Macaca mulatta: one gene and its partner. Each later gene encodes a partner of the first gene's protein in a complex. Links are inferred from orthologs where the notes say so. Each region holds a gene or a part of one and is shown on either strand. Other genes may lie near its edges.

Region 1 (6,010 bases):
ACCTCTTGAATTTGGGAACAAAACTGTGTTTATATTCATATACATTTTTTTCCAGGGAAAGGATCCATAGATTTCATCAAATTCCCAAAGTAACCTACTAAGCGGTAAGAATCAATGACATAGAGTACTAGCTGGTCATCAGTGAACACTGTAAATACTGATTGTGAAGTTAAGCCTATGGCACTATTAGATCCATTGAATATGTTTTGAATCCTCAAGATTAAATTACTTTATCATCTGTTAGTATATTTTAAATACATTATAAATCTCTGAATTTTATTAACCATTTGCAGTACACGTGTGTATATATACATACACATATTCCATAAATGGGCTACGGACCATCATATATTTTAGAATATTTGACTATAAGGGGGGAACACTGAGAAAGTTACACTAGCTGAGCATCTATATCTCAAGACTGCATAATATAAGGTTTGCTACACTGATTTAATAACTGAATATGTGACTATCTAAAAGGTGCTCTTCTCTCTGGGCAGTGACCACACTGCCAGAGTCTTGTGAATACATCTTACCTCTTCTACCTCTATTCCTCATGGACAGTGAAGTACCTTGGTCTCACACTTATAGCAGCCCCTCAAAAAATATGTCAGGACTACAGGTGCCTGCCACCACACCCAGCTAATTTCTTGTATTTTTAGTAGAGATGAGGTTTCACCGTGTTAGCCAGGATGGTCTCAATCTCCCGACCTTGTGATCCGTCTGCTACTGGGGAGGTTGAGGCAGGAGAATGGCGTGAACCTGGGAAGTGGAGCTTGCAGTGAGCCAAGATGGCGCCACTGCACTCCAGCCTGGGCGACAGAGTAAAGCTCCCTCTCAAAAAAAAAAAAAAGAAAAGTAAGGAATATGTGTGTGTATGCTATATCCATCCCATTTCCACTTCAGTTACCAAAGCACACTGCCCTTAATAGAACCTAGAAGATATTCTTCAGATGCTACTTTTTCAGATGGAGTCTCACTGTCACCCAGGCTGCAGTGCAATGGCGCAATCTCAGCTCACTGCAACCTCCGCCTCCCAGGATCAAGTGAGTCTCCTGCCTCAGCCTCACGAGTAGCTCAGACTACAGGCACATGCCACCACACCTGGCTAATTTTTGTATTTTTAGTAGAGACAGGATTTTGTTATGATGGCCAGGCTGGTCTCGAACTCCTGACCTCAGGTGATCCACTTGCCTTGGCCTCCCAAAGTGCTGGGATTACAGGTGTGAGCCACTGCGCCCAGCCCAGATGCTATATTTCTAAACAGATAAAAAGCCTAGCCAGGCGCGGTGGCTCATGCCTGTAATCCCAGCACTTTTGGAGGCCGAGGCGGGTGGATCACCTGAGGTCAGGAGTTCAAGACCAGCCTGGTCAACAAGGTGAAACCCTGTCTCTACTAAATATACAAAAATTAGCCGAGCATGGTGGTGGGCGCCTGTAATCATGGCTACTCACGAGGCTGAAGCAGGAGAATCACTTGAACCCGGGAGGCAGAGGTGGCAGTGAGCCGAGATCGCACCATTGCACTCCAGCCTGGGCAACAAGAGCGAAACTTCATCTCAAACAAAAACAAAAACAAAAACAAAAAAACCTACTATGATCTTTCCATACAACCTTGTCATATAATCCTCAGCACTGAAGCTCTTTGGAAAACTCAAGGTAGAAGAGACTTTACAAACCTTGGATATGTGCTTTTATTTACAGACCAGGACCTCTTCCATCTATTCTCCCTCAGTTTCCACTCCAACTTCTCTCAGGTGAGATAAGCTTGAATTCTAACATTTAAAAAGAATTGGAAGGGTCTTTAAATGATCACCTAGTCTAACTCTCATTTTTCAGGTTACTGATGTGACCAGAATCACACAAGAACCTGGTAGCTGAGGTGGGTCTTAAGCATACAACATCAGTTAAGAGCATGGACTCTGGGATTAAATACATAGACTTGAGTTAAAATACTCTCCCACTTACCAGATGAGTAACCTTGGACCTACTTACTTGACCTCTATGAACCAGAATTTCCTCACTTGAACAGAGTTCATACTAGTCAATGGCACACATGTTAAAGGGTGTAGGGGTGAAGTGTAGTGATGCCTGCAATTCACCTTGAAATGTAAAAGTGGATTGGGAGAGGCACACATGGAAAGATATATGATAAAGCAGCATAGTAAAATGTTAATCATAGAATTTAGGTACACAGGTACTTACTATACAAGTCTTTCAACTTTTTTTGTATGTCTGAAAACTGTCATACTAACGCAGGGAAGGGACAACTAATTCGTTGGATATGACAAGGCAATGGACACACAGCTACTTAGCACAGTGCTTGGCACATGGAAAGCACTCAACCAATGTTAGCTACTTGCAGTAATAGCTGCTTAGTAAGACAGGGTCAAACACTTCCTTTTTGGAAAGATGATGCTCAAAATGGAAACCCGAGGTTTTTCTTTTGAGCCCTTTCTATTTAGAAAAATCAGGCTAAGAGGCAGTAGCTTAACTTTGTATTAAGTGAAGATTTTTGTACAAGCTAAGGCTCTGCAAAGGCCAAGGGGCATGGCTGTGACCTCAGACAACAGCAGGCAGAGAGAGTGGCTATGTCATCATAGAGCACTGATTTGGGAGTCAGAAATACATGTGAGCGCAAATCCCCGCTTTACCATTACTAAAACGAGTGTCAAGTATATGGTGAAGTGCCCTCTCCCCAACTCAATATTTTCACCTGCCAAAAACCAATAATGTATGTGAAAGTACTTGGCATCACTAGCACTCAGAAAAAGGAGATTTAATTGGAATGGTCAAAAAGGATGCTTGGAGGGATAAATAAACCAGATTGCTCTTCTCCCTAATTCCCACTTCTCTCCCTCAGCTCCCGGGTCCTGGGAACCAAAACGAGCTTTTAAAGTTTAGTCAATTCCCTACTTTAAACCGTCCCACGGCCTGCCAGTGCGTTCACAATAAAATCCAATTTCCTTACCGTGGCCGACAAAGTTCTGCAGTAACTAACCCCACCAAGATAATCATTTTTGTTTATTGATGTACACGTTTATCGTCTCTCACTACACTAAAATGTAACCTCCTATCTTATCTCCCGCTGTATCCCGGGAAATAAGTGTCGCGAATAGAGCTCAGCATGGATTAAGGGGACGGGGTTGTGTGGGTTTCCATTAGTACTTGTCCATGAGTTGAAGCAAACCGTCAACTGGCCCCAGTGGGTGGTCATTAGTTTTCCTGGGGCGGCCCCTCACCCAGCTCCAGGGCGGCGCCCCTCCCCGAGCCCCTGGCCTATTTTCACTTCCCTGAGGCAACTATGGCGGGAGACCCCTGGCGCGCGCATCCCGCCCCGAGCCACCGACTTCAGCAGCTCTCTCGCCGCAGCAGCCCTGCTCGGAGCCCCCAACTCCCTGGTCCGCTGGCCACACCTCTCGCGCGTTCTCCTGGCCCACGAGCCCTGAGGCCGCCTGCTTGGCCAAGCCGCTCTCGTCCAGCCCCAGCCCTTTCACGTGGCTGTGGGAAGCGATGCGCTGCGTTTTCGTGGTGCTCTTCACCTCCTCAATTTTCATTTTGCGGACGCCGGGAGCTAAAACCAGCGTGGAAAACCAGCAGATAGGACAGTGCGCCCAGCGCCCGAGTTACCATGCGGCCGTTACTAGGGCAATTTGCAAAGGCCCGCCTAGGTTGGCCTTCCATTGGTGGAAGCGGGAACGCCTCCGCTCTCCATAGGCTCACGGCTGCGCCCATCGCGGCTGCTGCTGGAGCTCCAGTCACTCACTTCCGGCTGTGTCTCTGGGTTGGCTTCCCCCGCAGCCGGCGCTTCCTGCCCAGGCTGGGGTCGGTAGCACAGTGGGACCACGCCCCGGATTTGATTTCGGGCTGGGGCGTTGCACGAGGTAGTGGCCCCCGGGTACCACTCCTAATCCTTCCGTCCTATCCATTATCACGTTTGAACGTCATACTCTTACGCGAAGCTCAAGTTATTATTTCCGTTTTGGAAATAGAAGAACTGAGGTTCAGAGCTTAAACTGAGATTGGTTACTAACCAATGTTTTCTGACTCCCAGACCTTTGCATCTCGTCTGGAAAGGCCCAGCGCAACCCACCACTCCTTCCGTGGAATTGTCTTCCCCTGCTTCTAATCTCCATCCTCCGCCGAGAGATAAGGTTCCTGCTAAGTTCAGTTCAGTTGACTGTAAATAACATTTTGCAGTTTTCAAAACTCTACAGCCCTGTAAGGTAGTGTAATTACGAATGCAGCTACAGACAAGCAGAAAGAGGCCCATCCGCCCAAGAAAGCACCACAAAGAATCAGAACTAGAAATCTTCAGGCTTCAAAACCTATATAATAATGCTCATACTGTCCCATTATTTCAGCTGAGACAATCAGCCAGCAAATTGTCCCTTCAGGTTTCATAATGATATTCGCACAACCTGCACCACAATTGTACTTGTCATCCATCCATCCATCCATCCATTTAACAAACACGAGCCAGACACCACAATGCACTGGGGATACAGGGATAAAAGTCTTGATGAGCTTACTCCTTGCTTAGAAAACTTGTAACATGAGATGTGGTGAGACAGGTACACCCAGGTGGCAAGAAGACCAGAGCAGAAGCCCCAGGAACAGCCTGGAGAGCCAGGGAAAGCACCATGAAGGTGATGTTGCCTTGGCTGAATTCTGACAAATGGGCGAGATTTCCTCAGAAGCAAATGGTATGACACCATTTTTACAGAAGAAGATACTAACATCCAGAGGAAGGGAAGGACTTGCCCAGAGTGCAGGAGAGTTTATATTAGAATTGAGACAGACCTGAAATCACACTTCCTTGTACATCTTGATTCTAAGTTTTGAATCTAGGTTTCTATATTTTTTTTCTTTTCTTTTGAATCTAGGCTTCTAGTGATTTGCATAATTACTGGGTCAATGTTTGTCTCTCCCAGTAAACTGCAGGCCTTTTGAGGGTGTAGACCACATTTGATTGTTTACCATTTTAACCTAAGTGCCTGGCACACAGCCTAAAACACAGCTCACAATTAAGGCTTCTCATGAATTCAATTAATGTTCTAGACCACACACAAACACATACACTTGAATTTATCAGTTTTGCTGCATGTATTTTATACGGTGGCTTTTGTAGGTCTTGGTAATGATTTCCATCAGAGAATGGAATCTTCTGGCATTTTCAGGGCCCAAAAGAACAGAGGCTCAGGCGGCCTTGGAAGGCTGAGGTTGTTACTAGTGGCATGTGGTTCATCAGCACTAGAGACAGCACCTCACAAAGTTGCTTAGCCCCTCATTGACTTGTTCCTGGTCATTACTCTTAGATAAGAAGCAATTCCTTTTTCTGTATGGAGAAGGAAAATTTTCCACCAACTAGTAGTCAAAGTGAAGCATTCTATGGGACTGACTTCTTTGTGTATTGTCCAATTAGGGAAAAAACCATTTTTTACACTTATTATTTTGGCCCTAATCTTTGTATCTTTTGGCACAAAGAGAAGGATTTCCTTCTAGCCCAAAAAGAGGAAGGGAGAATGAGGATTTTAGAGCACAGAGGAATATCCCCTGGATTACTTGGTCTAGTGGTTTTCAAACCACATTCCCAGCAGTTGTGGAATCTTTCTGTGGCCAGTACAGGTGGGGAAAGGGAATGCTAAGAGTGTGGGATACCAGCTCCATGCCCCCACTTCCACCAGAGTTGTTCCTTCTTTTTTTTTTTTTTTTTTTTTTAGTGCTAAAGAACAGTTAAAAAATCACTGATGGGCCAGGTGTAGTGGTCCACGCCTATAATCCCAGCACTTTGGGAGGCTGAGGCAGGTGGATCACCTGAGGTCAGGAGTTCGAAACCAGCCCGGCTAACATGGCAAAACCCCATCTCTACTAAAAATACAAAAATTACCTGGGCGTGGTAGCAGAAACCTGTAACCCCAGCTACTCAGGAGGCTGAGACACGAGAATCACTTGAACCCGGGAGGTGGAGGTTGCAGTGAGCCAAGATTGTGCCATTGCACTCCAACCT
Region 2 (6,106 bases), on another chromosome or scaffold:
CAACTTGGGAGGCTGAGGCAGGAGAATCCCTTAAGCCCAGGAGGCAGAGGTTGCAGTGAGCCAAGATCGCACCATTGCACTCCAGCCTGGGCGACAAGAGCAAAATTCCTTCTCAAAAACAAACAAACTGGACTTGGTCTAAATGACCATCAGTTCAGAATTGTGTTGACCATGAAAGCAGGCCATTTCATTAAACTATATGCTAATTGGTCTGAACACCAAGAATCAGAAATCTCAGCAGGTCTGAGGTTCTTTTGGGTCCACTAACACCTGCTAGTCCTTTCCATGACTGGAAAGGTTTGAAAAGATAAAAATTACTGAAACCCTAAGGGAGGCAACTCTGGAAAAAATGAATGTAGGAAGACATAAATGTAACCAACAAAGAAGTTTAGATCAATGGTATTCACACTTGTGAGATGTTGTTAATCTAAGTGTATTTCTCAGTGCCCCCATGCTCATTCCATTGAAACCAAGCTCACCTCTCTTGGTAGTTTCTCTAGCATGCCAGGCACACTATTCCTCTTGCCAGGAATGCTCTTCCCCAGATAGCCCCATGGCTTCTTCACTCAGTCAAATGATTCAAATGTCCCTTCATCTGGGAGGCCCTCCCTAGCTACATTTCAAATCCCTCATCTATGCTCCCAACTGCCCTTCCCTGCACAAAACCATAAATCAAGCTTGTCCAACCCTCAACCAGTGGGCCACATGCGGTCCAGGACGGCTTTGAATGCAGCCCAACACAAATTCATAAACTTTCTTAAAACACTATGTGATTTTTTTTGCAACTTTTTTTTTTTTTTTTTTTTTTTTTTAGTTCATCAGCTATCATTAGCATTAGTGTATTTTATGTGTGGCCCAAGACAAATCTTCTCCCAATGTAGCCCACGGAAGCCAAAAGATTGGACACTCCTGCCTTAAACTCAACTGGAGCCCACACTTTCTCTCCCCATCACCACCAACACATATCTGCTTCAATAACCACTTTAATTTGCTTCCAGCATACCCTTTCAAATTATTTCAACAAACACAAAGCCAGGCACAGCAGTGCGCCTATAGTCCCAGTTACTTGGCAGGCTGAAGCAAGGGGACTGCTTGAGCCCAGGAGTTTGAGGACGTAGTATGCTATGATCGCAGCTGTAAACAGTCACTGCATTCCAGCCTGGGCAACACAGGGATACACCATCTCTTAAAAACAAAAACAGAGTGTTTACTCTATGTTTGTACTACTCTAGTCACCCGGGATATAAACCAAAGCTCCCCCTTTGTAAAACTTACATTCTAATTGGAGGAGACAATATGAGAAAGCAAGAAATTACACAGTAAATATTAGGGGGTGATAAGTGTTAGGGAAAAAAAGTAGACGGAGGGGAATCAAGCATGCCAGGGGCTGTGATTTTAAAGTTAGGTTACAGAGGGCCTCATCGAGGAAGCGACATTTAAGCGAGATGAGTGAGGAGAAAGGAAGCCATGTGGGTACTGGGGAAAAGGGCAGTGCAGGCAGAGAGAACAGCTACGGCAATTGCCCTGGGGTGGGATCATTCTTGGGGTGCTGAAAGAAGCATGTGAAGGTCAGTGTGGCAGGAACACAGTGAATGAATAGTAAAATTAGCAGGAAGTGAAATCACAGGTAACTAGTTTTCTTGTTACCAACTCTAACAGGCTGAGACCTCATGGATCTGGTCATAATTGTATTTATGTATAACAGTATAGTCCTTCTAGATTTTAAGCCTTCAAGGAACTCTTCTGTCTTGTTCACTGCTGCATTCCCACTGCTAAGCACAGTGCCTGGCATACAGAAGATTCCCAATAAATGTCTGCATGAATGAACGATACAAAGATCATTTTTTGAATGCTTATTATGTGCTATACATGGGCTTTGCAACCACATTTCTTCAGCCCCAGCTCTGAGGAGGAGGGGAGATGAGTCCTTAAGTATCATTCTAGGCAGCCATGGGGAAAGTGAGAAGAGTGTTGGAAATGGTGGTATTTTTACACACTATCCTCATGGAATGGACTTACTCTGTGAGGAGAGAGCTCTTACGATCAATGAACTTGAGAGCTTCTGCCAGTGTCAACTCCAGGAAAAAACCATATCCCAGGGCCACATAGATGCGTGAAGTATCTGGGCTGAGGAAAGAGAGGTTAGAGGAAGTGCGGGGGAAGTCCTTATCACTGTTTAGCAGAGTGTATGTTTTGCTCCCCACCCTTCCCCAAATTGAGGCTCTGGGAAGGCAGGGATTTTGTCCTATTTTATTCACTGTCACATCCCCAGCGCCTAGCTTATATCCTACTGGGATAATAAACCTCGTATAGTGCCTGGTACATAGAAGATACTCAAAAAAATATATGTTGCATGAGGGAAGGGGTAAGCTGAACCCTGTGGGCTCAGAGGGGCGGGTAGACACTCACACCACTGTGTCAACGAAGAAGTTACAGCCCAAATCCACCTGCATATATAACTCCGAGTGCTTAGCTTCCTGTGGGGCCAGGGAAAAAGAGGTAGGGGTCAGTGGTGAACTCTTAGGTCAGGTGACAGGTTTGGCTCTGGAGTCTCTCTTCCCATTTCCCTCCCTTACCCACACACACCAAAAAAATGATACCCAACCCCATAGTCTTTACCTGGAGTCGCTCAATGACATTTCTCAGTTGAAGGTATTTGGCCAGCTGCTCATATACCTTGTCTCGATGGTCCAGCACCTTTCTGATGGGATGAAAGTACAATGGTGACCAATAGGCAGCCCCATTCCTCCTAGTATACCTCATATCATGACCCTCTGAGACTCTCACGTCACCATACGCTGAAAAGGCTTTTTAGTGTACAAGTTAATTTTGGGCTCTGGGTCAGACTGCCTGGGTTTGGATCTGGGCTCTGTCCTTTATAGATGTGTGGCTTTGGCAAGTAAGGAACCTGTTTGGGACTTGGTTTCCCCATTTATAAAATGCAGATGACAGTATTACCTTGTAGAGTCATTAGGATTAAATGAGCATTTACTCAAAGCATCTAGAATAATGCCTACCAAATGGTAAACTCTCTACATGTTAGCTATTATTACTATTACTACACTCCCAATACTGAACTCCAATCATAATGTCCCATCCTCACCCTAGAAAAATCCTCCATCCCTTTTAGGATGCTCATAGTCCTAGTTCTGAACACCTTACTTCTTGCTTAGATTAACAAAAATTGCAATAATATTTCTTCATACTTATTGAACCTCTACTATGTTTCAGGCATCCATGCTACTAAATTATTTACAAAGATGGGACATATGAAAAACTCAAAACCACTGCATGGGGAAGGTTCCAGAAAACTCCCCATTTCACAGAGAAGTTTATAGGGCACAGAAAGGCGAGGTATGACGTATTCACAAGGATGAAGAATGGCCGAGCCAGGATTCGAACCTGAGAACTGTGGCTCCAGAAAACAAGCCCTAATCCGTCAAACATCGGAGGCCGCGCATGCGCTGACACGCCCCCTGCTATGAACGCCACGTCCCAGCCAAACTGCACCCCGGATATCATCACCACTTCACGCTCCAAGGAGCGCGGGGCCGGACTCTGAACGCCTCGCCCACCAATCCAAAGGGTTGGCCCTAACTCTGAACGCCCCACCCACCACGTGGAATGTTCCAGACGCCCCGCCCTCTGCACTGTCACTCACCGCAAGTCCCGCTGCAGCACGTCACTGATGAAGGTCTCGTAGCGCAGTACTTTCTCCCCCGTGGCCTCCACCGCCCGCCGCTTAGGGGGCGTCGCCATGATGGGCTCCTGGGGAGTGGGGAGGGGGAAGACCACGTTGACCGCTCCAGTTTGGCCTCACACACAGTTCATCTCTACCCTCTCAACGCTGGGAATCGACTTGTCCGGCTCAAGCTGGGGGCTCAGCCTTCCGCCCCTCCCAACTCGGGGACCCGGCCACCCAGGGACACCCAAGCGCGGCCTTTACCTCAGGGCCGCCAGCAATAAAAACGGTTGGTAGGAACCGCGGCTTCCGGGTGGCGCGGGTGAATGACGTAAGTGGCAAGCGCGCTGGCCAACCAAATAGCCAGCTGGGGAAGACGGGCCAAAGGGGAGAAGAGAAGGGCGGGGCTTCACGGAATCCGAGGAGATCAAAGATGACTAGGGCGTGGGAGCAGGCCATCTGGCAATAAACCGGCCAATGGGGGACTGCAAAAGCGGCGCGTGGAGCCTATGGAGACCGTGCGTCGCTGGTGAGGGTGGGATTTAATGGGATTTGGCGGTTCTAAGTTAGGCGCGACGCACAGGTAGAGGTAGAGAGAGGAAGTGAAGAGTTTAATATTTAAAAGGACCTAAGAATTGACTATGGTTCTGGTCTATAAGGAAGATCCCGTGTGATCTGTCGGCTTGGATATTGATTTGTCATACGGGAGGTTTGGGTTTCACTCCTGGCAATGGGACTGAGTATGAGCACTTAAAAGGTTTTAAACAGAGACAGATTTTCTAAAATTCATCTTTGATAACTCCAGCTCTGTACCTGCAACCTATAACTGAGGCTCAAGCGGAAATTGACAACGCACTATATCTAATCACCTCGTTTGATAGTCAAATGGAGAGGGTGGCTGAAGTCCTCTGCAGAATATTGGCCATCTTGTAGTTAGGCATAGTTCCCATGTTTTTATTTAAATGGTAAGGTTTTTGTGAATTTATTCTTATGCACTAGAGTGACTGAGTGAATTTGTTTTTCAGTTTAGATTTTTTTTAAAAAAATTATACTTTAAGTTCCAGGGTACATGCACACAACGTGCAGGTTTGTTACATATGTATACATGTGCCATGTTGGTGTGCTGCACCCATTAACTCATTAGGTATATCTCCTAATGATATCCCTCCCCCCTCCCCCCTCCCCACAATAGGCCCCGATGTGTGATGTTACCCTTCCTGTGTCCAAGTGATCTCATTGTTCGGTTCCCACCTATGAGTGAGAACATGCAGTGTTTGGTTTTCTGTTCTTGTGATAGTTTGCTGAAAATGATGGTTTCCAGCTGCATCCATGTCCCTACAAAGGACACGAACTCATCCTTTTTTATGGCTGCATAGTATTCCATGGTGTATATGTGCCACATTTTCTTAATCCAGTCTATCACTGAAATGCCTTAAATTCAGGTTAGATTTTCAAACAAGAACTTATAACCCAGCAAGAATGGGCCTTTGCCTGGAGAAGAATCCAGACCATGGGATGAATCTCCAAATGCTATTTCCATCTATAGAGCTTAGAGCACCCACCCCTACCAAGGAAGTCTTCCCAGATAATTTGTGTTTCATATGTAAAAGCAAGTTTTTTTTTCAAATGCTGAAAACCCAAGCAAGTTAAGCCTGCCTTTCCTTCCTTCCTTCCTTCCTTCCTTCCTTCCTTCCTTCCTTCTCTTTCTTTTCTTTTCTTTTCTTTTCTTTTCTTTCTTTCTTTCTTTCTTTCTTTCTTTCTTTCTTTCTTTCTTTCTTTCTTTCTCTTTCTTTCTTTCTCTTTCTTTCTTTCTTTCTTTCTTTCTTTCTTTCTTTCTTTCTCTCTCTCTCTCTCTCTTTCTTTCTTTCTTTCTTCTTTCTCCTTCCTTCCTTCCTTCCTTCCTTCCTTCCTTCCTTCCTTCCTTCCTTCCTTCCTTTTCTTTCTTCTTCTTTTTTTTTTTGACAGAGTCTTTGTCCCCTAGGCTGGAGTGCAGTAGTATGACCATGACTCACTGCAGCCTCAACCTCCCAGGCTCAAGTGATCCTCCCGCCTCAGCCTCCCGAGTAGCTGGGACTACCGGCATACCGATGCCCATCTAATTTAAAAAAAAAATTTTGTAGAGACAAAGTCTATGTTGCCCAGGCTGGTCTCAAACTCCTAGGCTTGAGTGATTTGCCTGCCTCGGCCTCCCAAAATGCCAGGATTATAGGCATGAGTTAGCACACTTGGCAAAGTTAAGCTTTCCTTTGCCCTTAGAACGAGATAATTGTAAAATGAAAACATTGAGACTAATTTTTTTTGTCTGTAAATCTCATGTTACATATAGTTTAAATTACATTGAGTGTGATTGGAATAGATACTAGGTAGACAAATATTATCTAGTTAATCTATACCTACCACTTTCCTGTGAAAAGAGAGAAAAGA

What was found. The genes of interacting proteins can lie anywhere in the genome.
Region 2: RUVBL1 (region 1) and UXT share a complex: the UniProt entries of both Homo sapiens proteins name them as parts of the PAQosome complex. The link is inferred for Macaca mulatta from reciprocal best matches to the Homo sapiens genes RUVBL1 and UXT.

The regions. Positions count from the first base shown.
Region 1 is NC_133407.1:155,848,383-155,854,392, reverse strand, and holds the start of RUVBL1 (ruvB-like 1), read right to left. Parts: upstream 3,637-6,010; 5' UTR 3,558-3,636; coding exon 3,417-3,557; exon of another isoform or gene 2,321-3,416; intron 997-2,320; exon of another isoform or gene 824-996; intron 1-823. UniProt on the Homo sapiens protein: Possesses single-stranded DNA-stimulated ATPase and ATP-dependent DNA helicase (3' to 5') activity; hexamerization is thought to be critical for ATP hydrolysis and adjacent subunits in the ring-like structure contribute to the ATPase activity.
Region 2 is NC_133426.1:47,679,102-47,685,207, forward strand, and holds the start of UXT (protein UXT), read right to left. Parts: upstream 4,016-6,106; 5' UTR 3,972-4,015; coding exon of another isoform or gene 3,760-3,971; coding exon 3,662-3,759; exon of another isoform or gene 3,650-3,661; intron 3,616-3,649; exon of another isoform or gene 3,232-3,615; intron 2,702-3,231; coding exon 2,620-2,701; intron 2,478-2,619; coding exon 2,410-2,477; intron 2,128-2,409; coding exon 2,020-2,127; intron 1,815-2,019; exon of another isoform or gene 1,648-1,814; intron 1,186-1,647; exon of another isoform or gene 968-1,185; intron 1-967. Other genes in the region: uncharacterized protein LOC144338585, read left to right, coding at 3,758-3,971. UniProt on the Homo sapiens protein: Involved in gene transcription regulation. Acts in concert with the corepressor URI1 to regulate androgen receptor AR-mediated transcription. Together with URI1, associates with chromatin to the NKX3-1 promoter region.